7 linked regions of the Macaca fascicularis genome follow. The protein of the gene in region 6 interacts with the protein of the main gene of each other region in a biochemical or structural test. Links are inferred from orthologs where the notes say so. Each region holds a gene or a part of one and is shown on either strand. Other genes may lie near its edges. The genes, in order: HERC4, PRKN, RNF19A, RNF7, RNF20, UBE2L3 and NEDD4L.

Region 1 (4,757 bases), on a different chromosome or scaffold from region 6:
ACATAACAATGATATTCCTACATGTAGAAATATTTGATTTTAAAATACAATATCCAGGAAAACAGAACATGAAATGTGACCAAATTCCTCAAAATTCTCATTACCCTACAAATTATTTAATTTTGCTTGTACAACTATTACAAAATAGGACACTTCATAGTCACAAAATCTTGAATAGCTAGCAATGCTACAGAAAGTAAAAGATTAGAGGAATAAAAGATATTTCTAACTAAACCAAATAAAATTACATGTTTAAAATACTATGACAGAGGGATAAAAAGAATAAAAACATATTTTAGGCAAGCAAGTCAAAGTAAAAAGCTTTTCGTCTTGTTTTCTTCTCCTACTCCCAAGGTAAGGTAAACACAAAGTAAATTATGCATTTAAAATCTATCCACGGTGCCTGAACAGAATTTATTAAAGAGGGCCTGCACACTACACATTCTGTACCAAAGACCTATATACGGCAGGCTGATTTTCTTTATTGTTTTATATTGTCATACAAAATAAGGTTTTATAATACTAGTCGTAAAAAAAAAAGAAACCACAACATAAAGTACTTAGAACCATACAAATATACAAATATAATGGAAATACATAACTTCTACTTTGCTTTTAAAGTTTGATAAACATATAATTACAACTAGAGAAATTATATGATGATTCAAATTTAAAATGATATAATTATTAGAAATAGCAAATTTTAAAAACGTTTCAACTTACCTGGTTTCTTTCTGGATTTTTCATGACCTAGCTGTCCTAGATCATTACATCCACAAGTGTACACTGTTCCATCATCCAGAACAAATACAGTATGTCTGAGTCCACATCCTACATCTCGGACCTTTTTATTTATAAAGAAGTCACTTTTTCTGGGCTCTAGTACAATTTCTTCATCAATTCCACCCAAACCTAGCTGTCCAAAGGATGCATTGCCCCAGCACAACATGCTTGTAATTATTTTGGTCTTCCAGTTTCAATAAAAAATTCTCTTCTGAAACCCCGGAAAGTTGGAGGTACCCTATGTCTGAGGAAATAGAAAGAAGTTAATATGACTTCAAAGAAAAAAGGTATAATTGCTCTTTCAAGTGCTAGGCTACAATAATTGCTACATGGTAAACACTAAATTTACTTTATAACATGGTACATAAGTATCATTGTTTCAAAAACCAATCAGTTGTATTTTTTTTAATGTATCATACAGAAAGTTTTAGGGAAAATATGTCACTTTCTACGATCCTTTGCAAAATTTAAAACATATTAACTAGTTTTGACTTCTGGTTATCTTGTGATAGACTAAACTAATGGGAGTAAGTACCTTGATGAAATTAATCACAATTTTTTCTACTTTTTGCTTTAAATAATTTCAGTGGGAGCAAGAAATAAGACATCTTTTCACTGCCCAAGAAGCAAATATACACAGTGAAAAATTTAGCCAACTGCAGAAACATAACCTTGCAATCTCCCTCAAATCCTAGTATAATTAAGCCTTCTAATACCTACCTCCACATCAACAGAAAATGGAAGTTCTTATCTGTAACAGAAATAAAACCAACAATGGAAATTTAAAGCAATTTTCCACAATTTAAACGACTCTCCCAATTATTCTTAATAGGCCAGAGAGAAAATGAGGATTCTCTTACCAAACCACAATCTCAAATCACCTCCAAAGATCCCATTTTTCAAATCAAAATACTAACATTCCAACTTCACTAATTTTAAAACTAAATCAATTTGCATAATTATAATACAGAAAAAAACTCATGCAGTTTAAATATCAATTCTCTCCAAAATTCAACCTCTTTTATTACAATTGGTAACCGGGACTAAAAAACTCTCCTGTGAGCAATCTATATCTATCTATACTTCTGAGACAATTATTTAAAGATTGGCGGGGGTTAATTGCAAATAACTCCAGCACTGCTGATTTTTCAAGAATAGGAATGGGGGCTGGGGCACTGATAGTCTGATGGCGAAATCTGTAGAACTTTCCAGCACATTGACTGAGTATTTCTTCACTTGTAAAGACACAAATAACAGAGTCCACTTCATCTATACATACGTAGATTTTTAAACACATCGCGTTACTAAATATCATAATTACAGGAAGTCAGCCTTATTCTGTAGTAGTCATGCACATTCCTACAGAGCCTGCGAAGTCTCAATCTCAATTTTCCTACGTTCCTGTTAGCAAGTGCCCAAGGTGTCCCATTCCACGACCCATCATCCTCTAACAAGTTTGATTTCATTCTTTCGGGGCATCAGAACTCTATAATTCCCAAGACTTCTGCATTGTCTTCCCATATTTAAAAAACAAAATAAGAGTAATACAGGAAAATACCCCGACTTCAGCGCGCGAGGTCTAACCACCCTTTTCTTTAAAGCACAGAGGCGTCCTCTCGCCAGCAACAGGTAGGGAAATGAGAAGCAGTTTAATCCCGTCTTTCCCTGAACGTGCACCCAGATCAGCTCATGCGGACCGGGAAAGAGAAATCATCTGCACACACCCAACCTCGCAGCCGAGCAGACAACTACCGCAACCGGCCGCTCGCAACAGCCTCAGAGGCCGGCGGCCGAGGCTTGGCAGCCCGCGGCCTCAACCTGAGAGAAGCCCATCCCCAGGGAGGTGCGACATTCCAGCCCCGGGGCCAGGGAGCCACAACCCTGCCCTCGCCCCACGCCCCTCACCCCTAGGAAGCGCTGAGAAAGCGCCCAGTGCCGAGCCGGCCTGCATCCGCCCAGCCCGGCCTGCCCCTCCCTAACGCCGTCACACGCCCCCGAACCCACTGGGGCCACAACTCGCCCAGCCCTTCAGGGCAGGGGAAGCCCAAGGTGACGCGGGGCGGCCCTTCCCCAGAGACCAAGGCAGCGCGGTCGCTGAAGCAGGTATCCGGCTCCTGGGACCCTCCTCCGTCAGCCAGTGGCGGTGATCACCAGGGCACCTCCGGCGTCTGTGCCGCTGCTCCGCTGCTCCCCTCCCCGGCCCCTGTGAAACTTTACCGGGTTCCTTAGAGAAAAGCGGACGCCACTGCTGTCCAGTCCAGAGACAGCCGTCAGCGACCCGGATGGAGCGGGCGGGGAAGAACAGGAGGCAAGCGGGGCGGAGAGCACTAGGGGTGGGGAGAGTTGGGGAAGAGACTGGGTAGGAGAAGGCAGAGGGGGAGGTGGCCACGCGAGGGAGGCGGGGGAGGGGCTGGCCGGAAGTGAACCGCCGAGCACGCGCGCGAGCCCGCCCACTTCCCGGTCCCCGCGCCTGCGCCGGAATACTCCCGGGGGCGCTTGGCCACAGGCGCCTGCGCAGTGTGCTGCTTTGCGTTGCTTTAAGAGGGAAAAGTCAAATACAGAAAATTGGAGTTTGCGAAGACAAACGAAGAAGGTATAAACTGTTTTTGAGAATGCTTCGGCGTGCACAGAGCCTTTTAATGAAGAAAATCACTTTGTTTTTTGGTTTGGTTGTCTTTGTGCTCATGGATGCTAGCTGGTCTTTTTATTATTTTACTCTCTCTTTTCCCAAGGAGATTTTAAGTAGCAGATGAAACATCACGATTATGAATATAAAGACTGGTGAAGAGTTATTTTATCCCATGGCCTCAACTGGAGCCAGTCTGAGGATGTGAGATGTATTGATAGCAATGGTTAAAGCTACTCGAACTAATAACACCACCAGTTCAGGTTCCTGTTACAGTGTTGGCTCCCATCACTTTCTACACTCCCCCTGAAAGATAGGCTTGAATTGCAGGGCCTCATTCTATCAGAGAAAATTACACATTTGGCTGCAGTCCCTGATTCATAAAAACGAAGTCTGGATCTCCTAGGCTAGCCTTAACTTCTTAAAAAGCAGGAGAACTTGAAACAAAGCACTTTTGAAATTCTAAGTTTGGCATTGCTAGAATGAATATTCAGTACCTAGAAGAAGTTCCACAAATAGGCCATCTTTCTTTTTCTTTTCTTATTTTTAATTATTTATTTTATTTATTTATTTATTTTTTTGAGACAGAGTCTTGCTCTGTGCCCCAGGCTGGAGTGCAATGGCGCGGCGCAATCTTGGTTCACTGGAACTTTCGCCTCAGCCTCCCGAGTAGCTGGGACAACGGACATGCGCCGCCACGCGCGGCTAATTTTTGTATTTTTAGTAGAGACAAGGTTTCGCCGTATTGGTCAGGCTGGTCTCAAACTCCTTACCTCAGGCGATCCACCTGCCTCGGCCTCCCAAAGTGCTGGGATTACAGGCGTGAGCCACCGCGCCTGGCCTATTTCTTTATCTCTTGTTGAAAAACATGTTTTAGGTAAGAATTGTCTGTTCTAGAATATGTTTAAGTGTGTGTATTCGTGTCCTAGGCTTGCCATAATAAATTAAAACAGATTGAGAGGCTTAAAACAACAGAAATTTATTGTCTCACAGTTCTGAAGGCCAGAATTTCAAAATCAAGGTGAAAACAAGGTTAGTTCTCTCTTGGGGCCTCTGAGAGATAATCTTTTCCAGCCTTCTCCGCTAGCTTCTGATGGTTGCCAACAATCCTTGGCAATCCTTGTGGAAGCATCCCTCTTCACCTTGTTTTCGCTGTGTGTCTGTGTCCAAATTTCCCTTTTATAAGGACACCAGATATCGGATTAGAGCCTACCCTGCCTGATCCATTATGACCTCATCTTAACGTTATTACATCTGCAAAGAACTCATTTCCAATTAAAGGTCACATTTGGCCGGGCGCAGTGGCTCACGCCTGTAATCCCAGCACTATGGGAGGCCGAGGTGGGCG
Region 2 (4,606 bases), on a different chromosome or scaffold from region 6:
GAACATACCACAAATTATCACCACTAACATTCCATTTTAAATACAAAAAACTGATCATTTTTTACAAAGTCAAAATATATTTTTAATAGAGATACCAAAAATTACACTTTTCTACGTTGAATTCTTTTAAGCTTTTCTATTCTGCTTTATATTATCTTGAAGTCCTTCTCCACACCTTCCACAAAGGCACAATTTTTAACCGACTTCAATTAAATTACGTTTCCATAGCTGCCCAGGTCAGGGCATTCAACATATCAATCGCAATCCAGGTGGGAAATGTAAGGACTTATGAAACAGTCCTCATCCCAAGAAGGGAATCTTTGGTTTTGAGAAAGTAAAAGGAAGGCACATTCCACTAGCAGTTAGGTCGCAGTCAGTCTTGTTTACTCCTCTTCTACCAGGAAACCCATCTTTACGTTTCTCCAACTGGCAGAATATTATTTGCATTAAGGTTGGGGCGGGAAATTAAAGAAAAATAAAATTAAAAAGAAAAAGAAATAAGTTTTCCTGTTTTAGGCTAACTTGTCCCAGAGGCAGCAACAGCACAGCCCAGATCCAGGAAGAGTCTTGCTAATATTATCGAATGTGCTCTGGAGACTCTCCCAGCACTCCCTCAACACAGGGAGAAGAAAAACAAATTTTCCTTTGTTTTATGGAATCAGTTTATAGACTCTTGTTCTCTGTAACTAGTGATTTCAAGTATTCTGTTTTATCTAAGAAGCACAACGAAGGTCATGAGAAGCCTGAGTAGGCCTGAACTACAGCTGCCTGGGCACCATAGTGAAGGTTATAGGATAAGCCTGTGCCCAGGGAAACCTAGATAACGAACATCTGGGTTGCTTGGCGATGGCCATGTGCAGTCCTGCCTTTGTCCTGCCTCTGTATCCCTGCTTTGCCACCACCGTAAGTTTGCTTCAAGCTAGCCCACCTCCTTTTGTGAAGTGTGTATAAAAGTCAAGTACTGTCTTTATTCTGGGCCCAGTCTATTGCATGTGAGTCAGCTGGGCCTGAGTGCACTCGATCAAGATTCTCCTGTTTCAACCCGAGGTCTCTCTCGTCCTCCTGAATCCCGCAACAAGGTGAGTGTAACAGAGAAAGCATAGGCCTGAAAGGAGCAAGCTTTGAGAAGCACTCTTACCTTTAACAGAAAATCCCAGATACATACTATTTACATTTTGATCTCCAACTGATCACTGGATAAAATCTATAATGTCTTTCCTCGCTCTGAATTTTTGTCACAAAAACACAAAATCCATCACTCCAAGGCTTCCTTTTAATGGTTTTCACTTTCACCTACCTTTAGCACTGTTCACCACACCCAAATCTCAAACTGGCCATTCAGATGTTTACTGAAATGTGGCTAATGAGGCTGGGCGTGGTGGCTTACGCCTCCAATCCCAGATCTTAAGTGCCTGTCTTCATATAGCTTTACAATAAATTTGTTTCTCTTAAAATTATCTGTGCACTAGATTAAGTTAAATTAAAATAAAATGTATTTAACTGTCTTCAAAATAAGGTATAGGCTATTTTCTTCCTGTAGACTACTGATAGCACGGATTTTGGAAAATCTCTTCTACTTGGTTTTCTGATTCAGTTCAGACTTGTGCTTACAAGTGAATCTTACGTAAATGTCACCTAAAAAGAGCTCAAGAAAACTCAAAAAATTATAACTTTTTCATAATTTGGTTAACTTTCAAGTCATTCACCAAAAGTCAGACCATGCTAGAAAGGGAAGGCTGAACAACATTCTTGTTTTACCACAGAGACAAAGACAATGCCAGTTAGCTGGCTTGATTCTCCCACTGATGGGCAGAATGTTTACATTTTAACAATAACTTCATAAATAAAAACAGATGTAGTACGTGTTTTCAGTGCATAAAGATCATATATTTTATGAATCCACCTCTCACCTTACTTCTGGACAGACCACATCTGACTTCGAACGTACTTACTGCAATCAAAAGTGTTTTGTAAGGGACGCTCCTCAGGAATTAGCCCTAAACAAGCTCACTAAACCCTCCATACATAACCTGGAGAAACTTCCACAATAATGAAACCCCATATAGCACTGGCTTCTAAACATATGGTGCATTTCCATTCATTTTTAGGGACAGCCCCTAAAGTAGTTTTTGGTTCAACAACCCTGGAAGAGGACCTTTGCACCTTTGCTCATCTTACACATCAAGTGTTCATGAACAACTCTGATGCCACTAAGTTTTGTTCACAAAATTGCACCTCGGTCATTGTGTTTTACCAAAAAAAAAAAAAAAAAAAAAAGTTATATTGCAAAAGGCAGTAGATGTAATCTTGGCTATTATTTACTCTCAATTTTTCTTTCACCTCAGCCCTCCAACGAGAAGTTTAAAAGGAAACATCCGAGGGAGCAAGAAGTTTAGATTCATCTGGAGGAGTTTCTGTGGCGCCCAGCCACCCTCACCAGGTGCCTTCCATTAGAGTTTAATGCTTTGCTGGGGTTTCCTGAAAGAGCCCCACAAAGAGTGGGTCTCGATGGGTCCTGAACCGCACGACAACTGGCCAGGGCCTCGAGGGCGAGGGGCGGCGGCGGGGCGAAGGCTTCGGGACCCTACACGGTCCGGGGGACCATGAGCGAGGACCGGGGGTGCGGGGCCGCCTGGCGTCCCCGGTGAGGCGGTCTTCACGGGAACGCTCAGAGCAGGGGCGGGCGGGCGAGGGCTTGGAACGCACACACTGGGGCCCCGGGCCCGCGTCGCTGAGCTGGAGAGCCCGGCGGTGCGGGCCGGGTACGGCATGGGCACTTTGGCCCCGTCACTGACAGTTGGCACCTGGGGTCCAGGTCGGCCGAGGCCACACCGGGGCGCAGGGCGGCGCAGATGAGGCTGTACCTGGCAGGTACCCACGTACCTATCATGGTCACTGGGCAGGTGGCGGCTGCGGGCCAGGAAAGGGCCTACGCGCGCACCGGCGCCAGCCAGCGCCTCCCACCAGCGGCTCTCCTGGGTTAAATCTTCCAGGGCTCCCCGCCCCGGCGCCGGGCCCTAGGAATGCGCACGCGCGGAGGGTACGCGGCCCAGGGCCTGCTGGGAGTCGTAGTTTTAATGCGTAGTTTCTCCTCACGCCTCCTGCCCTCCAGCTCACCGCCGCCTCCCTTTCCGGCTTCAGGCCCAGCAATCGTACGTCACCGAGGGGCGGAGCTATGCGCCCGCAGTGTTGACCAGTCGCTTAGCAACCGGGAGGCTTACCTTTGGAAGCTTGTTGCAGCTCTAGCTACGGTCCTGCCCTCTTCCCGCCCCACCCCTCCCCTAAACTCCCTTCACCTAGGAGCTGCCAAACATCTGGATCAACCTGGGCACTACGAGGGGTTGAATTTCTACCATTAACGCGCCTTTTGACATTTTTTTCCCGACCTCCTGCTCACATCCGTAAAACCCACTGATTCTTTTACTACACTTTTTATGAGAACAAGACATTTTCTAGGAAGATGGTGGCAGAAAAAGAGACCCTGAGCTTAAACAAATGCCCAGACAAGATGCCGAAGAGGACCAAGCTGCTGGCACAACAGCCGCTCCCGGTGCACCAGCCTCACTCCCTGGTTTCTGAGGGCTTCACAGTCAAAGCCATGATGAAAAACTCAGTCGTAAGTGATCTTCCTGAATTGAATGCACTCGCTCCGTATCAGGGGACACGAGATTTACAGAGGTTGGCCAGCCCTAGGATGGACTCTGAGCCCATGTCCTGGGTGGTCTTTGCCAAAAATGGCAATTACTTGGCAAGTAGCAGACGGTCCCCCACAGTGTGTGGGGGGCAGGCTAGGTTGTTAGAATCCTGGGCAAATGATATACTCTGCCCATTGATAAGCACCTTCCTGATAACTCATCGTTTCTAAACCGCCCAAAATTACTCTTACGCTATTTACACGAGGTAAAAAGATCCCCTTTAATTACTGATTGCTAACTAACCCCACTCAGCAAAGGGCCTTACAGAAGATGAGCTCTTAGAAATCATAAACTCTTGCAAAATTTAACATGAGCTGATATACAACTGGGAACATAAACTCATTAAATAATCTATAATGAGAAATTTTGGAATATCCTAGCAGTTACTCTAACAACACTTGTCTCTTAGAAAATGATGTCATCTTGTTAGAGTACTGAAAGCCCACTTAATATGAACACTGTTTCCTGACAGGCCTTTTAAGATGATGTGCTTTAAACAATACAAGCTTTAGCTCATGTGTCTCTGCTACTAATACAATTCATATTTCATCTGCATTATTTGTAGTAACAAAAATAAAATATTCTAAGTATCATTAGAGGAAAAAAAGATTAAAAATACATACAAATATTTTAGCTGTCTGCATGATAGTATCTATTTTTTAAACCTTCCTATTTGTTACATAGCTTTACACTTGGTATGCTAAGGCAGATTTTGCTACTGAGTAAGCACCTGTCTGGGAATGAGGCATTAAATAATAAATGCAGCTTTCAAATTCATATAATTTACACCCTGGGAAGATCTGAGTTATTACATGTGGCAATTCATTATGTTAAATGAGTAATGTTGTTTTCCAGTGTCACATTATTTCCTTTGCTTATATGTTGTAAACCTAATAACTTATTCCTAAATG
Region 3 (4,020 bases), on a different chromosome or scaffold from region 6:
CGTCTGTAATCCCAGCACTTTGGGAGGCCAAGGAGGGCGGATCACTTGAGGTCAGGAGTTCGAGGCCAGCCTGACCAACATGGTGAAACCTTGTCTCTACTAAAAATACAAAAATTAGCAAGTCATGGTGGCGCATGCCTGTAATCCCAGCTGAGGCAGGAGAATTGCTTGAACCCGGAAGGTGGAGGTTGCAGTGAGCTGGGATTTTGCCATTGCACTCTAGCCTGGGCAACAGAGCCAGACTCTGTCTCAAAAAAAAAAAAAAAAAAGTTCCCTTTGTGCCTCACCATAAAATGTAGCCACAATCCTGACTCCTAACATTGTACATTAATTCTCTCTGTTTGGAACTTTATATAAATAGAATTATACCACATACTCTTTTGTATGAGAGTCCTGTCTTGTGTGTAGCAGTATTTTGTTCCTTTTCATTGTTTCATTGCTTTAGAGTGTGAATATACCACAATTTATGTATTCATTCTACTGCTGATAAAAATATGGTTGTTTACAATATTTTGAATATTATTACCAATGCTATTGTGAGCATTGTTAAGTATGTCATTTTTCTTATTCGTTCCTTTCTAGGAATAAAATTGTTGGGTAATAGGTTATCGCTGTATGCCAATTTTATAGATATTGTTAAACAGTTTTCCAAAGTAGTTGTGCCATTTTACACTCCCACCAGTAGTGTAAGAGAGTTCCTATTCCTCCACATCCTTGCTAACACTTAGAAATGACAGTCTTTTAATTTTAGCCATCCTATTAGGTGTGTTGTAGTCTCTGAATGGGGCATTAATGTGTTTTTTCCTGATGACTGATGATGTTGAGCACTTTTCATATGCTTTTGTGAAATGCCCCTGCCTATTTTTCTATTGGATTGTATATGTTTTCTTATTGATTTGTAAGCATTTTTTACATAGTCTGGGCACTGTGCCTTTATTAGTTATATGTGGCAAAAGTCTCCTCCCATACCCTTAATACTGTCTGTTGATTTTATTCTAGTCCAATTTAACAGTCTTTTATTTTATGGTTGGTATTCTTGTATGTTCTGTTTAAGAATTTTTCCATTGAAATAGTCTCTTCTCTTGTCTCCTAGAAGCTTTACATTCAGATCTGTAAACCATTTGTAATTGATTTTCATATATGGGCAAGCCATCCATCCATCAAGTTTCCTTTCTTTTCTCAGGTGGATAACCGGTAGACATAGTACTTTTCTTTTTTTAAAGGCCATTTATTCTCAGTCCTCAGCAACATCACGTTTGTCATAAATCAAGTCTCGTGTGTGTGTGTGTGTGTGTGTGTGTGTGTATGTAGGACTTTTATTTTATTTTATTTTATTTATTTATTTTTGAGATGGACTCTCACACTGTCGCCCAGGCTAGAGTGCAGTGGCGCAATCTCGGCTCACTGCAAGCTCCGCCTCCCGGGTTCACGCCATTCTCCTGCCTCAGAAGAATACTCCGGAGTAGCTGGGGCTACAGGGACCCACCACCATGCCCGGCTAATTTTTTATATTTTTAATAGAGATGGAGTTTCACTGTGTTAGCCAGGATGATCTCAATCTCCTGACCTCGTGATCTGCCCGTCTTGGCCTCCCAAAGTGCTGGGATTACAGGCGTCAGCCACCACGCCCGGCCTATATGGGACTTTTTCTGGACTACTTTCTGTTCCACTGGTCTTTGTATTCATCCTTGTGGCATAGCACATTATCTGATTACTGTAACTTTATAATATTATATCTAGCGGCGTTAGAGGCCTTTCCCCACTTTGTTCTGCAAGATTATGTAAGCTATTCTTAGCCCTTTGTATTTGCATGTATACTTGATTGTCAGTTATAAACAACAACAGAAAGACCTGCTAAAGACAGTGAGAAATCATTGAAGTCAGAGTGATAATGACCAGAAGTTTTTTTCTAAGATTTTAAGAATAATTAGGTCAGCTCAAATCTAGAATCTTTTATTAAGATTAAAGAATGCCCTTTTTGTTATTTCAGCATTAGTCTTGTAGTTTCTTACAGACTATTTAATAAATTGGCCTTATTTAAAAAAACAACAGCTACTAATGGTTAAGGAACATACTTGTTTGAAATTTGATATTTATGAAAATATACAAACTAAGAACATAATTAAATGATCTTGATTTTTTTATTTTTTATTTTTCAGAACATCCGTGATAACAGTCTTCTGTAAATCGAACTTTTGAAGAATTCTCTGAAAGAACCAAGTAGAATATTCTTACATCATGACTTACTCTGAATGCAAGAACAAGAAATAGGTTTTATCTCTAAATATAATGAAGGGCTGTGTGTAAACACTAACCCTGACTCAATTCTAACAAACATTTTAGACATGAGTTTACATCGGCAAATGGGTTCAGATCGAGATCTTCAGTCCTCTGCTTCATCTGTGAGCTTGCCTTCAGTCAAAAAGGCACCCAAAAAAAGAAGAATTTCAATAGGCTCCCTGTTTCGGAGGAAAAAAGATAGCAAACGTAAATCAAGGGAGCTAAATGGCGGGGTGGATGGAATTGCAAGTATTGAAAGTATACATTCTGAAATGTGTACTGATAAGAACTCCATTTTCTCTACAAATACCTCTTCTGACAATGGATTAACTTCCATCAGCAAACAAATTGGAGACTTCATAGAGTGCCCTTTGTGCCTTTTGCGGCATTCTAAAGACAGATTTCCTGATATAATGACTTGTCATCATAGATCTTGTGTGGATTGCTTACGACAATATTTAAGGATAGAAATCTCTGAAAGTAGAGTTAATATTAGTTGCCCAGAATGTACTGAACGGTTTAATCCCCATGATATTCGCTTGATATTAAGTGATGATGTCTTGATGGAAAAATACGAAGAGTTTATGCTTAGACGGTGGCTTGTTGCAGATCCTGATTGCAGGTGGTGTCCAGCTCCAGATTGTGGGTAAGAAGATATTGTTTGATTTTTCTTGAGTTAATTTTTTTCTCTGTGGATAAAATAATTTGCTGTTACTCAAAAATTTTTACGTGCTGGAGAATTCATTCAACAGGCCTGTTGAGTACACACCATATATCAGGCACTATGCTAGCTGTTAAAGGCAGTGGTCCTGTCTTACTCATTTCTGTATTGTCTCTGTATTACATATTCACGGAGCACATTTAGAAGAAAAGGGTAAGGTGGTAGAGTTCAGGATCTACCTGAAATTGGTTTTCTCATCCATTTGGAGAATTTTGATTTTGGAATAACAGACGAAATGTTGAGCATTGTTTGTGAAGAGGAGGTTATTTGTGGTCATAAACTCAAATGACCCTCTTCTTTATTTTTTTCTCTTTGTTGACATGTTTCTCATGAGAGATAAATGGCCCTTTTGAAAGGTACCTACCTTAGCATGTGCCACAGTATGATGTGTTCATGTTGATATACATAAACATTTGCTAGTCTCAAGTTCTAGGGGTTATGTAATATTTGATTTGCCTCAAGTTTTTGAATTAACACATACCGTATTCTCAACATTTAAAATAAAATAATTTTGCATATATATTTGATTATTATGTTGGTGAGCAGCTCCTGTTTATAGAGCATTTATTGTGTACAGTTGTCAGAATTAGGGAAACAGTAGTCATATACTATTCAAGAATAGTAAAAGCCACAAACAATTAATGTGATATGTAGCACACTGTTAGTAAACCAGAGATTATAAGTAACGTTTGGGGAAACCCAGAACTTCCGAGATTATCTGGGTATAATCTCAGAGGCAAGACTGGAATGTGAGTTTCATTTATCAAATTACAATTTCAAGACTCGTTACCTGAATCAAATCCACGATTTAAAAGTTTCTTGAGTAGTGAATTTTCAGATCGCATCTAACCTACATTCCATAATTTTAAATGAGAAAAGTAGTGTTTCCTGCCTGTGCAAATCCCAGTTTTCCCAGGTATCACTAGCACTTTATCATCCACCAAAGATTTCTGTGTAGTATACAACATTTTAAAATTACCTTATTAATATTTTATGAATTAATTAGTTGTATGTAGGGT
Region 4 (3,172 bases), on a different chromosome or scaffold from region 6:
AAGTAACCTGACATTCTACTGCTTTCCTCTTCAATGCAAAGCCGTGTATCTGGTTCACATTTTAAGGATGCAACCTTCTAAAAAGGTCAAACAGAAAGTTACTAAAACAGTTTACTGCACAATGATAAATTCAAATGGCCAAAGATATTTGTATAATTTTTTCAGTAGCTAGAGAGACAACTGTGAAAAAATATAAAGCAAAAATTTCCAGAAAAATGTGATTCATAAAAAGTAACCCATACAAAAGCATAATTTTAATTTTTTATTCTAATTGTTACGTTTTTAAACATTCTATGTATCCACATCCCTTAGATTTAAAAATTCAGAATGGCAAACTGAATCTGCAGATGTGAAAAGTTAAGATTCTAAGGTTTTTTCTTAAATTCATATCAGTAGACTCTACCACAGAAGAATCCAAAATGAACTTGTGGTCCGTTATTTGTTACAAATAACCTCCCCTTAGTGTGAAACAGTTTGATAAAGTTTAGTATTTTCTTGTACTGTTTCCAGGTAATAAACCTTAAATTTCATTATTACCAAATGAAAGAGCAAATGAATATGAAATTTTTCAAATTAAATGAAAGTATTTACTTGACAAATTAGTTTATTAAGTTTAAGGTTGCACATAAAATTATAATGACAATTCAAATAAGGTAAGCAGAATAAACCATTTATTAAAACACTGTGTGATAAAATAAACTTTTTGACCCAATGCTACACTGGTAAACATTTTCCCTTATTAACATGTTACCTAAAACACAGTTAAATTATATCATCTGGGCCGGGCGCAGTGACCCACACCTGTAATCCCAGCACTTTGCGAGCCAAGGTGGGCGGATCACCTGAGCTCAGGAGTTCGAGACCAGCCTGGTCAACATGGGGAAACCTGTCTCTACTAAAAACACAAAAATTAGCCAGGTGTAGTGGCACATGCCTATAATCCCAGCTACTTGGGAGGCTGAGGCAGGAGAATCGCTTGAACCTGGGAGGCGGAGGTTGCAGTGAGCTGACATCATGCCACTGTACTCCAGCCTGGGTGGCAGAGCAAGACTCCACCTCAAAAAAAAAAAAAAAAAAAAATTACATCATCTGACCAGAACTAGAAAATACTTCTGTCCTTTACCACTCAATGATTGAACAGTGAGGTGAGTACAGATCTACGTTTTCTTGCTGAATGACAGAGAATAGTAACTTTAACGGCAATCAAAATTCCATATGCCTAAAAGTTAAATTTTATTTACCCCGTTCACTGGCCCAAACTTAAAATCCTCACATCACATAAAGATTTCAAGGACCGCTCCCTTTCCCTGCCAAAAATACATATTAGGAACAAATTAAGAATAAGAGTTGGCTTTTAAACTGCACTTTATTTGTTACTATAACATTCTTTTTTAACTGATCAACCATAAGCATGCAAAAAGTTCTCTGAAACTGCTCCCACCGCCTGTTGTAGAGAAATGGGTAAATTATAAAGGTGATTCAATTTGGAGTTCTTTCCTTTTTTGTAGCACTTCTAAGCTGTGTGCGCGACACACACCACAGAGGTAGAAAGGACCATCTTTAATAAATTATCTTCTTAATCACAGAGAATTTCTGAAAATAAAACTGACAAAATGCTAAACCAAGGCTTTGATGAGTCCCAAAGGACCATAGATCCATCGGCTCCTATTTGAAGAATTCATCCCCTGGAGTGTTCTAGCCTTTGTAGGGCACTGGATTACAAGATCCACCAGGGCTCTGAACAACCGCACTAAGAAGCCGTCTAACCACTCTCATTTGCCGATTCTTTGGACCACCCAGTCCTGCTGGCAGAGAGGGCAGCGATTGTTCTGTTTCACCCACAGGGACATGCAGCAGTTGTGGAAGGAATGATTACATTCTCCCCAGACCACTGAAAGAAAGAAAAAGAAGAGTTGACATTACATATTTCAATTTAAATACTCAACTCAAAATTACAGCTTATTTTATATTACAAATAATAATCTTGAAAAAAGACAGTTAATTGGCCAAAATAATGTTTTTCTATCTATAAAGAAACAGAAACTTAAATGTGTAAGTTACACAGAGACATAAGTCACTGTTTGAGAGCCTTTCCATCCCTGTTCTAGAATCTATGGGTGATGTGATGACCCCTAGTTCCTACACAGCTCCACATGCTATCTTCTTGAACTTAGGAGATGAAAGGACTTGAACCTTCCTTAGATCTGACCTTCTCAGTTATGCACTGACCTTAGAGACCTTCTGGGCTTTATTTTATGGAAAAATGTCCTTCCAATTTTTATTTACCAAGACAGAATGAGTTGTAAATGTTTTTAGCATGCAGTAGGCTATTATAAATAACATGCTTCTAAATATTCAGTTGTGCATCTACTGAGCTGAGCTGTTTTCTAGAAGTAATGAATTGTTAGGTCATCCACAAGCAGTGCAATTCCTCATGTGACGATGAAATTTTCAAAGGGGCTGGCTGGAGAGAGAGGTCTCTCTGTGATCCAAGAAAGTGGCCTGCCCCTCACAATTCCCAAATTAATACTTTTTAAACAAGCAGCATGGAAGAAAAACTTTAAAACAAGGGAAATCATCCATAATCTAGAATGCAATCTCAAATTTGGTATTCATCTGTCCCTTGCTTGATCAACTGAGCTATATGACAAAAGAAAAAGATTAAATGAAAGAAATAAGGCAGAAAAAAAGAAAAAAAATTCCTATGAAAATTTGCTACAGGGGGTAGGAAGCAAGGGTGAAACATTCTAAGTGTTTCAGGAGGAAGAACTGGATCAAAACTGCAAGAATCAATATTAAGTTCTATGTACATCATGTATTTGTGTTCTATGTACACCATGCAAACACAAAATACAAAGCCGATCTTTTATTCTAAGAAAATCTGTAAACATGTTTATATAGCAATCCAGACTTGATCACCTCAAGAACTAGGGCATAAAAATCTTTGAACTGCCTAAAATATTTAGCCTACGACAACTTTTATAGTCTAAGACTCTAAAGAAAATTTGATACACAAACCACATTCCAAAAACATACTTGAGACTTAGAATTTTTCTACTCTGGTTTTAAAGTTAAATACCGTATTATAAAAGTATTGAAAAGTGAAATGCCTTATTAGAACCAAAAGTGACCTATAACATAGCCAAAATTCAAATAATGTTTTGACATTCTG
Region 5 (4,020 bases), on a different chromosome or scaffold from region 6:
AATGGGTCTCATACCAGGGATGCAGGGGTGGTTTGACATCCGCAAGTCAATAAATGTGATACACCATATAAACAGAATTAAAAACAAAAATCACATGATCATCTCAATAGATGCAGAAAAAGCATTTGACAAAATCCAGCATCCTTTTATGATTAAAACCCTCAGCAAAATCAGCATAGAAGGGACATATCTTAAGGTAATAAAAGCCATCTATGACAGTCCCACAGCCAACATTATACTGAACAAGGGAAAGTTGAAAGCATTCCCCCTGAGAACCGGAACAAGACACAGATGCCACTCTCACCACTTCCATTCAACATGGTACTGGAAGTCCTAGCCACAGCAATCAGACAAGAGAAAGAAATAAAAGGCATCCAAATTGGTAATGAGGAAGTCAAACTGTCACTGTTTGCTGATCACATTATCATATACCTAGAGAACCCTAAAGACTCATCCAAAAAGCTGCGAGAACTGGTAAATGCATTCAGCGAAGCTTCAGCATACAAAATTAATGTGCACAAATCAGAGCTCTGCTAAACACCAACAGCAGCCAAACTGAGAATCATATCAAGAACTCAACCGCTTTGACAATAGCTGCAAAAAAAATAAAATAAAATATTTAGGAATATACTTAACCAAGAACGTAAAAGACCTCGACAAGAAAAATTACAAAACACTGCTGAAAGAAATCACAGATGACACAAACAAATGGAAATACATCCCATGCTCATGGATAATAGAATCAATATTGTGAAAATTACCATACTGCCAAAACCAATCTACAAATTAAATGCAATTCCCATCAAAATACCAACATCGTTCTTCAAGGAACTAGAAAAAACAATCCTAAAATGCATATGGAACCAAAAAAGAGCACGTATAGCCAAAGCAAGACTAAGTAAAATGAACAAATCTGGAGGCATCACATTACCTGACTTCAAACTATACTATAAAGAAATAGTCACAGCCAGGCGCAGTGGCTCACACCTGTAATCCCAGCACATTGGGAGGCCGAGGCGAGCAGATCACGAGGTCAGGAGATTGAGACCATCCTGGCTAACACAGCAAAACCCCATCTCTGCTAAAAATACAAAAAATTAGCCGGGCATGGTGGCGGGTGCCTGCAGTCCCAGCTACTCGGGAGGCTGGGGCAGGAGAATGTTGTGAACCCGGGAGGCAGAGCTTGCAGGGAGCCAAAATCGCGCCACTGCACTCCAGTCTGGGCAACAGGGCAAGACTGTCTCAAAAAAACAAAAAACAAAACAAAACAAAAAAACCCACAGTCACAAAAACAGCATGGTACTAGTATAAAAATAGGCATATAAACCAATGAAACAGAATAGAGAACCCAGAAATAAAGCCAAATACATACAGGCAACTGATTTTTGACAAACCAAACAAAAACATAAAGTGGGAAGGGACACCCTATTCAACAAATGGTGGTGTGATAATTGGCAAGCCACATATAGAAGAATGGAACTGGATCCTCATCTCTCACCTTATACAAAAATCAACTCAAGATGGGTCAAAGACTTAAATCTAAGACCTGAAACCATAAAAATTCTAGAAGGCAACATTGGAAAAACCTTTCTAGACACTGGCTCAGGCAAAGACTTCATGACCAAGAACCCAAAAGCAAATGCAACAAAAGAAACAATAAATAGATGAAACTTAATTAAACGAAAAAGCTTCTGCACAGCAAAAGAAATAATCAGCAGAGTAAACAGACAACCCATAGAGTGGCAGAAAAAAATCTATACATCCAACAAAGGACTAACATCCAGTATCTACAAGGAACTCAAACAAATCAGCAAGAACAAAACAAACAATCCCACCAAAAAGTGGCTAAGGATATGAATATACAATTCTCAAAAGAAAATATACAAATGGCCAACAAACATAAGAAAAATGCTCAACATCATTAACTATCAGGGAACTGTACATCAAAACCACAGTGCAATACCACCTCACTTTGCAGGAATGGCCATAATCAAAAAATAATAGGTGTTGGCATGGATATGATGAAAAGGGAACACTTTTACACTATTGGTGGGAATGTAAACTAGTACAACTACTATGGAAAACAGCATGGAGATGCCTTAATGAACTAAAAGTAGATCTACCACTTGATTCAGCAATCCCACTTCCAGGTATCTACCTAGAGGAAAAGTCACACCATGGAATACTACTCAGTCATAAGAAGGAACAAAATAATGCCATTTGCAGCAATATGGATGGAATTGGAGACCAATATTCTAAGTGAAGTAACTCAGGAATGGAAAACCAAACATTGTATGTCCTTACTCGTAAGTAGGAGCTAAGCTATGAGGATGCAAAGGCATGAGAATTATACAATAAACTGTGGGGACTTGGCAGAGGGAGGCAAGGGACAAAAGACTACACATTGGGTACAATGTACACTGCTTGGGTTGTGGGTGCACCAAAATCTTGGTATCACCACTAAAGAACTTACTCATGTAACCAAACACCACCTGTTCCCCAAAACTATGGAAATTTAAAAAAAAAAAAAAAAAGTAAAATCACACATACCTCCTAACCTCACCCACAACTCATCCCAATATCCAGAGGTAATGATTCTAACAGTTACTCATGCAGCCTTCCAGAAATTTTTAAAATACACAGCACAGGCACACAAGTAAACATACACTTTAATGCAAAAAGGGTAACAAAATAAGTCAGTTGATTTTATTTCAGACATGTTTCCATATTAGCAGATCCATATTTGACAGCTACACTGTACTCTTTTGTAGGAATAACAGTAGAGATGTATAATTTACTCACCAATACCCTAATGATGAACATTTAGTTTTCAAATTTTTTTCCATCACAAAAAAATGCCACAATAATCATTCTTTAATTTGTATCGTCATGTAGCAAGCGCCCTATTTCAATAGAATAGAAAGCTCTACTCATCTTAATTACCTGAGTCTTCAGAGTCAAAACCTGGTCTGCCAGCTCCTCCTTCTCTTCTTTAAGCAATTTATGGATCTGATTGGACTTGATACGCTCTGACATGAGCTTGAAATTTGCATCATCCTTCTCCCGCAATTGCTGCATCAAACGGATATTTTGCTCCTGCATGTCTTCAAAGGCCTGGCCTGTGACATCCATCTCAGAGAGGAGTGCTTCTTCTTCCTAAAGGATGGAGGAAGAGATTTCATTTTAGAAGAATCTTCCAACTTCAATGGATGAGCACCGGAAACTAAACTTTCCCACCGTTCACTTACATATAAATTAATTTAGTGACAGAGTTTTAAGAAGCTGTGTTTTGTCATTAGGCATACAAAAGCTCTATTATCTGAAGTCACTGGCACCAATTGTTGGTCTGATACTTATTAGTTGACCTGTATTCAAAGTCAGTTAAAGCAGACAATAATTGTATTTACCTTAATCTAGACAAACAGATCAAGCAGTAATTGGTTAAGAGTATTTCCGGCCGGGCGCGGTGGCTCAAGCCTGTAATCCCAGCACTTTGGGAGGCCGAGACGGGCGGATCACGAGGTCAGGAGATCGAGACCATCCTGGCTAACACAGTGAAACCCCGTCTCTACTAAAAAATACAAAAAAAAAAAACTAGCCGGGCGAGGTGGCGGGCGCCTGTAGTCCCAGCTACTCGGGAGGCTGAGGTAGGAGAATGGCGTAAACCCGGTAGGCGGAGCTTGCAGTGAGCCGAGATCTGGCCACTGCGCTCCAGCCTGGGCAACAGAGCAAGACTCTGTCTCAAAAAAAAAAAAAAAAAAAAGAGTATTTCCATCGTAACCTCTCACATTTTCTCATGCTTTTCCGCAATTAGAATACTGGATCTACAGGATTTCCAGCAGGTGCAAACATCTAAAGCCTTGTAACAATCTGATAGGTGAAGACTGGTATCTAATAATAGCTTTACTTTATATCTATCTCATTATAAGTGAGACTGAGCATCTTTTCATATGGTTAAGACCATCTGGCATTCTTTCTATAACCTATTCATTTCTTTTGCCTATTCTTTCATTGGATTCT
Region 6 (4,782 bases):
ATCATTCAACATTTGCTAGATTGCTATGCCTAAGGCACTGTTCTATGCACTAAGTCCCAATTTTTCACCAACGAAAATCACTTTATTTCCACCCCATGTACTGAAAAGACTGTTGATGAACTTGTATCAATAATTTTTCTTCTTTAAAAAAAAAAAAAAACAACTACCCAGTCTTAAACATTGACTCTCACAGCCAATGATCAGCATTACATAACTGGCGTTCCCCTAGTGAACTGAAAGCCTTTCCATCCTCAACTTAAGAAACAACACACCGCTCCATGCAGCCTTTGAGTAAGAAAGACAGCCTGACAAGAGGCATGGAATTTGGGTCCTAAAGACAGGAAGAGTCAGTGTCTTCTCCCTCCCCACCACATTCTACGATTCTACCTTAGGTAACTCCCTTAACCTAGTTAACCTCACAATGTCCTCATTTGTAAAAACATAAAAACGACAATACACTAACTTGGAGTGTTGAAAAGATAACTTATGTAAATAACCTAATATTTAATAAATACTCAGTTAATGTTACAAATTCTTTTCCAAGGTCTATTTTTTTAGAAACAGAGTAATAATTTTAAACCCGTAATAAGTCCCCTCTTAGACCCCTGAGAGCCTGGGGATTCCAAACTGGGTCAACTGGGATAGGCTAGGGGGCTTCCAGGATGAATTAGGTCAAGATCCCTGCCCTTCGGGATCTCAGAACCCAGTACAGGAAAGACAAGTCTGTAACACAAAGAGATTGTGACAAGTGCTCAAAGAGAAACATAAAGTGCTGTGGTCACACAGAGGAGGAAACAACTCATTCTGAAGGGGGATGTGAAGCAGGGGCTCACAGAGCAGTTGGCATTGGAGTTGAACCTGGGACTTCTCTGGAAGGCAGAAGTGAGGAGAAGGCAACTTTTTTGGGGCAGAGCAAACGACACGTGCAAAGAGACACCAGAGGGCAAGTAAGAGCAGGAGACTTTGCTTTGGAGAAAGAACCCAGTTCGATCACAGCTCACTCTCCCTAGCTAGGTAACCCAGGGCAAGCCAAATAATCTTTTCTCATCGACAAAATGGAAATCACAATGTCTACTTCACAGGAAGGATTAAACATGATCATGCATATAAAGCACGAAGTAAAAGCTGGAAAAATAGTAGCTACTGCGATTAGGTGCAAGAATGGTGGGAAACCAAAGGGCAGGAGGTGAGGCTCAACTGATTGCTTTCCGTCAGTCTCAGAAAGGTCTTGCATGCCAAGTAAGAGGTTAGGATTAACTGCTGAGGACAATAAGACCATAGACATTTTTAACAGGAGTGAAAAGAATTGAGTTATCTGCCTTAAAAGAACTCTGGTGTCCGTGAGGGGTAGTCTGGGGAGGAGAGCACTCCGGAGGGCACCCAAGAGATGAGGATACAGATTCAGAGTAATTTCAGTAACATTAGAAAGCAAGTCATGCACTTCAGAAATCTTTTTTTTTGTTTGTTTTTGAGATGGAGTCTCACTCTGTCGCCCTGGCTGGAGTGCAGTGGCGCAAACTTGGCTCACTGCAACCTCCACCTGCCAGGTTCAAACGATTCTCCCACTTCAGCCTCCCGGGTAGCTGAGATTACAGGCGAATGCGACCACGCCCAGCTAATTTTTATATTTTTAGTAGAGACAGGAGTTCACCATGTTGGCCGGGCTGGTCTTGAACTCCTGACCTCAAGTGATCCGCCCGCCTCGGCCTCCCAGAGTGCTGGGATTACAGGCGTGAGCCACCGCGCCCGGCCTGCACTCCAGAAAACTTTCTAAATTTAAATCCACAAGGGTTGAAGGACGACTGCACCTGGGAGTAGGGTAGGAAAGAAAGCCATTAACCGACCCCTTATCTGGTGAATGGTGGTGTCACTAGCTTAAGAGATGAGAAGTCAGAAGTCCTCTGAGTTTTCTTTTGTGCCCACTTCCACTCCAGTTTTATAAAGTTAATGTCCTCTCTAGCCCTTAGGGAACAAAAGAAAGGAAACGTTCCCAGGGAGGCAGGGAGGGCTCAGAGACTGTGGCTCCAAGTTCAATGTCTAGTTCTACCAAACACTGCTCTGCCCAGAACGAACCCCAGCTCTTTATCTCCCCTCAGGAAACCGGCTCCGGGGCCTTTTTTTAATTTCCGGCCCGTTGCAGGCCGGCTGCACTAGCCAGCCGCCGACTCACAGACGCTGGCGGAGGGGACTCCGGAGGACGTTGGCAAATCCACTGGCAAAAGAACTAAGCCAATTTAGCTAATGTGTTCCTCACTAAAAGGTGCCAAGTAGCAAGAAAGCACCCTGCTGCATTCAAGATCCAAAGTACCAAGTTATTATTATAAACTTTGGCCCGTTTTGATTCGAACGACTGAAACCAACCGTTACCCCCCAAAAAATGGCATTTTGCTTTATCAGGGAAGGGAGATCGAGATGACTGAGTGGAGGAGAGGGAAGGAGAACCGCGCCGCGATGGGGGCCGACCTCAGGCCTTCCTGGAGTTGGAACTTGCCCGCTGTGTGACTCTGCAGTCACAAGGCGACAGTTTGCTAGGACCCAGCGCAATTCCAAACGACCCACCAACAAACTGACCTAACTTTGGCCGCCTGGCCTCCTCCCCGCTCTCCTAGCCCGAGCCTTCCAGAGTTCCGAGCTGCGGCTGGGCCAAGCGGAGCTGCAAGCCCGGCTCGCTGAGGCCCAGGGCGGGGCGGTTCCGCTGCACGGGCTCCGGGCAGGGGCTCCGGCGCTCGGGCCTTCCCCGAAGGCGCTCAGTTTGGAGCCTCCCAACCGGGCTCTCACATTAACGACGCCCTCGCGTCGGACCGCGGCCTCCGCGACAGGGGGACGCGGCCACGCTCCGGGCGGAGGGTGGCGTGAACGCCCCGGGCCGGGCTGAGGGGCCAACAGTGGCTCCCAGCGCGGCCTGGCGCTCCCGCCCAGGCTGCGGCCTAGGCCAGCCCCGTTAGCTCCTTGAGCCTGCGCGCGGCCCAGGGAACCGACGAGGCCGTGTAGGGCAGGAGGCCAGACGGCAGCGCCCTGAGAGGCCGCTGCCTGCCTCGGGGGTCCGGAGCCTGGGACGCCGCCCCACGCCCGACCGAGGCCAGAGAATGGCTTTTACCTTCATCAGCCTCCTGCTGGCCGCCATCTTGGATTTGGTGCTGCTCCTTCCCCAGAATGCATCGCGGCCGGCCGGGCGGCTGGAGCCCCCGCACTTCCTGGAGCGGGGGAGGGGCCGCGGGGCGGGGCACAGGAGCGGAGCAGAGCACCTACTGTATGCTTCCCAGCGTGCTCGGAGGCGCGTGGAGGAACACAAGTGAACCGCACAGGCTGAGCCGCAGCGTTTACGGATCGTCCAATCAGATGACAGTTACAACCAGTGCCTGGCACGTAGTAGGCAAATAATAAATATTGATTGCATAAAATAGTTGGCCGGGCGCGGTGGCTCACGCCTGTAATCCCAGCACTTTGGGAGACCGAGGCGGGTAGATCACGAGGTCAGCAGTTCCAGACCAGCCTGGCCAAAGTGGTGAAACCGTGGCTCTACTAAAAATACAAAAAATTAGCCGGGCGTGGTGGCGGGCGTCTGTAATCTCAGCTACTCAGGAGGCTGAGGCAGGAGAATTGCTTGAACCTGGGAGGCAGAGGTTGCAGTGAGCCGAGACCACGCCACTGCACTCCAGCCTGGGCGACAGAGATTCCGTCTTAAAAAAAAAAAAAAAAAGTACTCTGATTGGAATGGGGAATGGAGGTGGGTAAGAGGATAAGAAGGGGAGCAGGGGCCACTTGGAAACCTGTTGCAATCGTTCAGGCAAAGAGGTGACACTGGTTTGGACCTCAGGGAGCAAAGAAGAGAGAAGAACATAGCTTCAGAATATACTCAGACCTTCTTAAGGAGTTCTCTTTTTTTTTTTTTTTTTTTTTTTTTTGAGACACAGTTTCACTCTGTCACCCAGAGTGGAGTGCAATGGCATGATCTCAGCTCACTGCAACCTCTGAATCCCAGGTTCAAGTGATTCTCCTGCCTCAGCCTCTTGAGTAGCATAGATTACAGGCACCTGCCACCATGCCCAGCTAATTTTTGTATTTTCGGTAGAGACAGGGTTTTAGCATTTTTGGCCAGGCTGGTCTCAAACTGCTGACCTCAAGCAATCCACCCACCTTGGCCTCCCAAAGTGCTGGGATTATAGGTGTGAGTCACTGGGCTTGGACATTTTTCTCCATTTCTAAGAACAGTGGGTTTCGGCCGGGCGCGGTGGCTCAAGCCTGTAATCCCAGCACTTTGGGAGGCCGAGGCGGGTGGATCACGAGGTCAGGAGATCGAGACTATCCTGGCTAACACGGTGAAACCCCGTCTCTACTAAAAATACAAAAAACTAGCCGGGCGTGGTGGCGGGTGCCTGTAGTCTCAGCTACTCGGGAGGCTGAGGCGGGAGAATGGCATGAACCCGGGAGGCGGAGCTTGCAGTGAGCCGAGATCACGCCACTGCACTCCAGCCTGGGAGACACAGCGAGACTCCGTCTCAAAAAAAAAAAAAAAAAAAAAAAGAACAGTGGGTTTCCCCTGAAAGGAGAGAAGGAAAGGGAACTGGAAATAATATATCCTGGAATAAGGCTGGCCTCACACTCATCTTGGGACCCCAGGCTTGACACAGGAAAGGAGGGAGAAACTAGATGACAAGCCTCATGTGAGCAGCCATTCTGCCTGCCTTTTACCTCCCCCAAGGCCAGTACACTGGAAGTTCAATACACATTCAGCGTATGTATGAGGGACCCCATCAGCTCCCTAGGGTCATGGTGGACTTG
Region 7 (4,020 bases), on a different chromosome or scaffold from region 6:
TTAATCTCAAATTCTACTCTCCCTCTTCCCATCCTCAACCACTCTACCTCCAAGCTCTTAAAAAATATTTCTGATGCTTTTTCCTTACTGATGATTTCTGTAGTGTTTTCTTAAGGACGCTATTTTGAATTGGCCAAATCTTTTAGAAGTCTCCAAGCCTATAGATAATGCCAGGTAGAGGGTTTGACTTCTAACTTTCAAGGTACCTTGAAATTCTTCCATGATTTACATGCTTTAAATAAGAATGAAATTATTTTGTGTTATTTGTTTCAGGGTTAATGTCTTAGCTGAGTGGTAACATTATTTTGAAATTATTTAGTCCCTTCAAATTAAAAAAATAATTTGGGGACAAATGCAATAATCACACAATATTAGATGGATGAGATCATTTTAATTAACTTTTCAATTAGTTTTTCCATCTGTTATCAAATCTTGCTTTCAGTAAAGTTATTCCAGAAAACATACAAATGTATAAATACATAATGTTCTGTGCTTTACAATGAAGTTAAAAAAAAAAACTTTTGTTTTTAACTGTGTGTAGACATTATGTCTTCAGTGCCCAAAATAAGCTACCAGAGAAAAGCACATCCATTATGGGCGAAACATAAAAATACTTTATGAGTAAACCAGTGAAGCTTTTGCTTAAAAACTCATGATGCAAAAGATAAGACACCTACCAGCAAACCACAAGCGGCACTGACCTATTTTTATTACTTCAAGACTTACCATCTAAGAGCTTTCCATGAAATACGGCCAGACCAGCAACTCTTCCAATAAAAGTGAAGTAGGACAAATGATCTTCATTACAGAGGCCTGAATTAGGGTTGATCTGAAGAGTGTAGTTGTCCCTTTTGAGGAGAAAGAGAAGAAAAGACCAATCACACTTTCAAATGCAAGATTTTGCATATTTCTTTGCCACCTGTCACTCAATTTCTACAGTGTCCTTGCAAGCATTCTGTACCTAGTGGGAAAAGGTGTGGGCTAGAGGACCTGACTTACCACCTGCTCAACCATGACCCACCATGGAAGCTGATGCATGTGTACTTTAAAGTCAATTAAACCATAAGAAACTGCTGATGTTTGACTGTTTCTGATCCACAAAGTGTCTATTTCCTATGGTTCAGCCAAATATCTTGGGGAGATAAGAAACTCCACATAATAAAGGGGCTGTGCAGGCATTCCCAATGATGTGGGTACTTTAGGTCGTGTCTGTGATAAAGGAAGGTTAATTCCTTCCAGAGGCTTTTGGCTTGGCCATAAGATGTATGCTATGGGCCCAACCCTTGGTCTGTCTTCTGACCACTACTCTGCTCTGAAAAGGCCTCAAGGGGATTAGGAACAGGATATGGCTCTCTCAATGAGGCAAACCTGCAAGTGTTTAGATTTGTCCAAATGACCTTGCTTGGTTCACAATTATGTGGATCAGTGGTTTTCAACCGGGGTCACAGACAGTTTCCTCCAGGGGGGTATCTTTGAAAATGTGGAGGAGAGGTAAAGATCTTGTCTCTCCCCACCCTGCCCTCCACCTTCAGTAGTTGGATAAATTGTCCATAGTGGGCTTTCTCATGGGACTCAGTAATAATAACAACAGACCAACTGGGCAATTCTTGGCTAGAGCAACTGAGAAGAATGCACTGAGGTTGCCTTCCAAATGAGCCCCCAGGAGATTGGTACCACATGGGAGATGTGGGAGAACCCACGTCCCCTTAGGGCCCAGGGTTAAAGTGATGATAAATACCCTTCAGCAAGGTCAGTGACTATTCTACTGAGGGCTTGGGTCCAGCCTAACCCTTGGAGGATTCAGAAGAAGGAATGGCTGGCCTGGAAGTAGCCGATCTTTGGTTGCTCAGAAAGCAATTTAGTCTGCCTCAGTTTCCAAGCCTGGCAATGATGAAATCCTAATGCAAGGGGAAACCTGATTCTTTCCTCACAGGAGCAGGGCATGGTCCTAGGTCCTCAAAGTCCTTACAATTTGCCTTTACCCAGAGACCTCGGAAACAACTCTTGTTCAAAAAACACCTTTTTGTTTTTGCATTCTAACACTGACAAGTCCTCCTTTTGAACACTGCAAATGAAAATCGCCTCCTATTCCTTACCACAATTATCCACGTTTTCAATTTCAACTCCATGAACCCATTAGATAAGAAAAAAAAAATCAATGTTAGATGTTCACAGAGTACACTATTTCACCAGGTAGAGTCAGAACCTGTTCTAGACTTGCAAGGGGCTGTGGGGTGAGGAGAGAATAAACTCAACAGACTTACTGCATCTTGAACTGGTGAGCTGCTTATTCTTTCATTCTGTTTAAATTCATACAACTGTCTCAGTGGGGGACACACTCTGGGTGTGGCCATATACTTACGTGGCAGAGTACTCAAAGAGGCCGTAGTAGGGGTTGAACATCTCTTTGGACAGTAAGAAGAACCATTCTCTGGCCACACCCCCGTAGTCAAGACCTTTCTCTGATTCAAACTCAATCCACAGTCTAGCTTTTAGGACATCTGGTCTTTTCACGGACATAATTCTCCGATAGGACTCTTCAAATATGTTATTTCTGTGAAGTTTCATTTCAAACCTATTGGGGATATCAGCCTACACAAAAGACAAAAGAAAACACACACAGTAAATACACGTTTTGTTTTCTAATAAAAACAACAACCAAGGGTAGGAAAGTTGGCAGTCCTCAAAGAAACGAGCAGTGACAAATGGTTCCAATTGAGAGTCTCTCCTTCAGGGGTTTTCCCTTGCAGACAGAAAGCCTCGCTGTGTCACGATGGACACACGGCATCCGCTAGCGATGCTCAGGAAAGTCAGAAACTCTGCTGCGAAGGAGAACAGCCTCCTCACCCCCTTTAATAAACAACTGTGGGCACTCCTCCAGCATATGGCAACTGAAAGGCAGTCAACTGTACCTGTTGCTTCTCTCAAGAGACTTTAGCCCAGGTAATCAAAACCTGTAATAATCCCCACCTGGCCAGGCTGGGGCCATGCTCAACTCTGGCAGGGCCGCGAGGTGGTAGATATAATCCACGGTGCCTCAAGTCCATTTTGCAGCCATGGGGAGCGGGACCCTGATTATGCCAAGTGTGGGGAAAGCAGCCCAAAGCATGGTTCGCTTGACCAAGGCTGCGGCAGCTGCCTCCTGCAAAGAGGCAATCCAGGCTTGGTCTGGCTGTAAGAATGAAACTGCAGAGATGTTTTCCGGGTAGCAGACACTGCTATGTGAGAGTCAGAGAGCCTGGGTGATGACCACAAAGTCATTATCATTACCAGGGGACGTGACTCACAAAGAAAATTGTGGAATTTTTAGTATTCATCTAAGTTTTGAAGGCAAATAATCATTTCAATAGTAGTTATCCATGAGCTCTTGAATCAGGACTTTGGAACAGAGACCAAAACTCCTAAATGAGATCAGAGATTGTGCCCCATCCAGAGACGTCCTGGGCAGGAGGAACCGGCTGAGGGGAGGAGGCAGGGAGAAATGGCAACAGAGCCCAGGCCACCGGAGGGGGTCTGAGCTGCAGCTGATTCTCCCCCCTCCCTAGAGGTGTAACCATAGTGATGGAGAAAACCAAAGAGAAAACTGCTAAGGAGGAATTGGAAAGTAAAACAGAAGATGCAATGTTGAACAATTTGGGGGTGGTGAGTGATTAGAAAATCTAATGTTATAATTTAAAACACTGCCCATAAAAATTTTTAGAGTTTCTAGGTTTGAAACTGCCAGGGACAATTATAAGCAGAAAATTACATTTGCACCTAGTACTGCCAATTACTATAATTAAATATAACTTTATATTATAAATATTGTAGCTGAAACTAAGCTTTTGCATTTGCAAGGAAGGACCTGAACATTTTTCTAACTGGGATCCAGGTTTATTAAATATGATAACTGTGCATAACTGAATGGGTTTCCCCAGATTTTGCGACTAGGGTTCTGAATTATTTCATATCCCATAAAAATCGTTCCTGTCTTTTTATGTATTACATACGAAATTACCCTTCAGGTGATTTGATACATAA

The links.
Region 1: the proteins of UBE2L3 (region 6) and HERC4 form a complex in vitro, tested with the Homo sapiens proteins (2 studies listed by BioGRID). The link is inferred for Macaca fascicularis from reciprocal best matches to the Homo sapiens genes UBE2L3 and HERC4.
Region 2: the proteins of UBE2L3 (region 6) and PRKN form a complex in vitro, tested with the Homo sapiens proteins (52 studies listed by BioGRID and IntAct, with this or other methods). The link is inferred for Macaca fascicularis from reciprocal best matches to the Homo sapiens genes UBE2L3 and PRKN.
Region 3: the proteins of UBE2L3 (region 6) and RNF19A form a complex in vitro, tested with the Homo sapiens proteins (3 studies listed by BioGRID). The link is inferred for Macaca fascicularis from reciprocal best matches to the Homo sapiens genes UBE2L3 and RNF19A.
Region 4: the proteins of UBE2L3 (region 6) and RNF7 form a complex in vitro, tested with the Homo sapiens proteins (2 studies listed by BioGRID). The link is inferred for Macaca fascicularis from reciprocal best matches to the Homo sapiens genes UBE2L3 and RNF7.
Region 5: the proteins of UBE2L3 (region 6) and RNF20 form a complex in vitro, tested with the Homo sapiens proteins (2 studies listed by BioGRID). The link is inferred for Macaca fascicularis from reciprocal best matches to the Homo sapiens genes UBE2L3 and RNF20.
Region 7: the proteins of UBE2L3 (region 6) and NEDD4L form a complex in vitro, tested with the Homo sapiens proteins (11 studies listed by BioGRID, with this or other methods). The link is inferred for Macaca fascicularis from reciprocal best matches to the Homo sapiens genes UBE2L3 and NEDD4L.

The regions. Positions count from the first base shown.
Region 1 is NC_088383.1:78,490,343-78,495,099, reverse strand, and holds the start of HERC4 (probable E3 ubiquitin-protein ligase HERC4), read right to left. Parts: upstream 3,155-4,757; 5' UTR 3,001-3,154; exon of another isoform or gene 2,788-3,000; intron 2,370-2,787; exon of another isoform or gene 2,342-2,369; intron 1,535-2,341; 5' UTR 1,504-1,534; intron 1,028-1,503; 5' UTR 950-1,027; coding exon 724-949; intron 1-723. UniProt on the Homo sapiens protein: Probable E3 ubiquitin-protein ligase involved in either protein trafficking or in the distribution of cellular structures. Required for spermatozoon maturation and fertility, and for the removal of the cytoplasmic droplet of the spermatozoon.
Region 2 is NC_088378.1:8,402,924-8,407,529, reverse strand, and holds the start of PRKN (E3 ubiquitin-protein ligase parkin), read right to left. Parts: upstream 3,010-4,606; 5' UTR 2,891-3,009; coding exon 2,884-2,890; intron 1-2,883. Other genes in the region: PACRG (parkin coregulated gene protein), read left to right, coding at 3,461-3,616. UniProt on the Homo sapiens protein: Functions within a multiprotein E3 ubiquitin ligase complex, catalyzing the covalent attachment of ubiquitin moieties onto substrate proteins. Substrates include SYT11 and VDAC1.
Region 3 is NC_088382.1:109,905,965-109,909,984, reverse strand, and holds part of RNF19A (E3 ubiquitin-protein ligase RNF19A), read left to right. Parts: intron 1-2,159; 5' UTR 2,160-2,252; coding exon 2,253-2,926; intron 2,927-4,020. UniProt on the Homo sapiens protein: E3 ubiquitin-protein ligase which accepts ubiquitin from E2 ubiquitin-conjugating enzymes UBE2L3 and UBE2L6 in the form of a thioester and then directly transfers the ubiquitin to targeted substrates, such as SNCAIP or CASR.
Region 4 is NC_088376.1:44,573,683-44,576,854, reverse strand, and holds the end of RNF7 (RING-box protein 2), read right to left. Parts: intron 1,892-3,172; coding exon 1,773-1,891; 3' UTR 587-1,772; downstream 1-586. UniProt on the Homo sapiens protein: Catalytic component of multiple cullin-5-RING E3 ubiquitin-protein ligase complexes (ECS complexes), which mediate the ubiquitination and subsequent proteasomal degradation of target proteins.
Region 5 is NC_088389.1:56,540,759-56,544,778, forward strand, and holds part of RNF20 (E3 ubiquitin-protein ligase BRE1A), read right to left. Parts: intron 3,157-4,020; coding exon 2,944-3,156; intron 1-2,943. UniProt on the Homo sapiens protein: Component of the RNF20/40 E3 ubiquitin-protein ligase complex that mediates monoubiquitination of 'Lys-120' of histone H2B (H2BK120ub1).
Region 6 is NC_088384.1:31,559,236-31,564,017, forward strand, and holds the start of UBE2L3 (ubiquitin-conjugating enzyme E2 L3), read right to left. Parts: upstream 3,151-4,782; 5' UTR 3,125-3,150; coding exon 3,098-3,124; exon of another isoform or gene 2,572-3,097; intron 1-2,571. UniProt on the Homo sapiens protein: Ubiquitin-conjugating enzyme E2 that specifically acts with HECT-type and RBR family E3 ubiquitin-protein ligases.
Region 7 is NC_088392.1:22,606,370-22,610,389, forward strand, and holds part of NEDD4L (E3 ubiquitin-protein ligase NEDD4-like), read right to left. Parts: intron 2,593-4,020; coding exon 2,363-2,592; intron 849-2,362; coding exon 727-848; intron 1-726. UniProt on the Homo sapiens protein: E3 ubiquitin-protein ligase that mediates the polyubiquitination of lysine and cysteine residues on target proteins and is thereby implicated in the regulation of various signaling pathways including autophagy, innate immunity or DNA repair.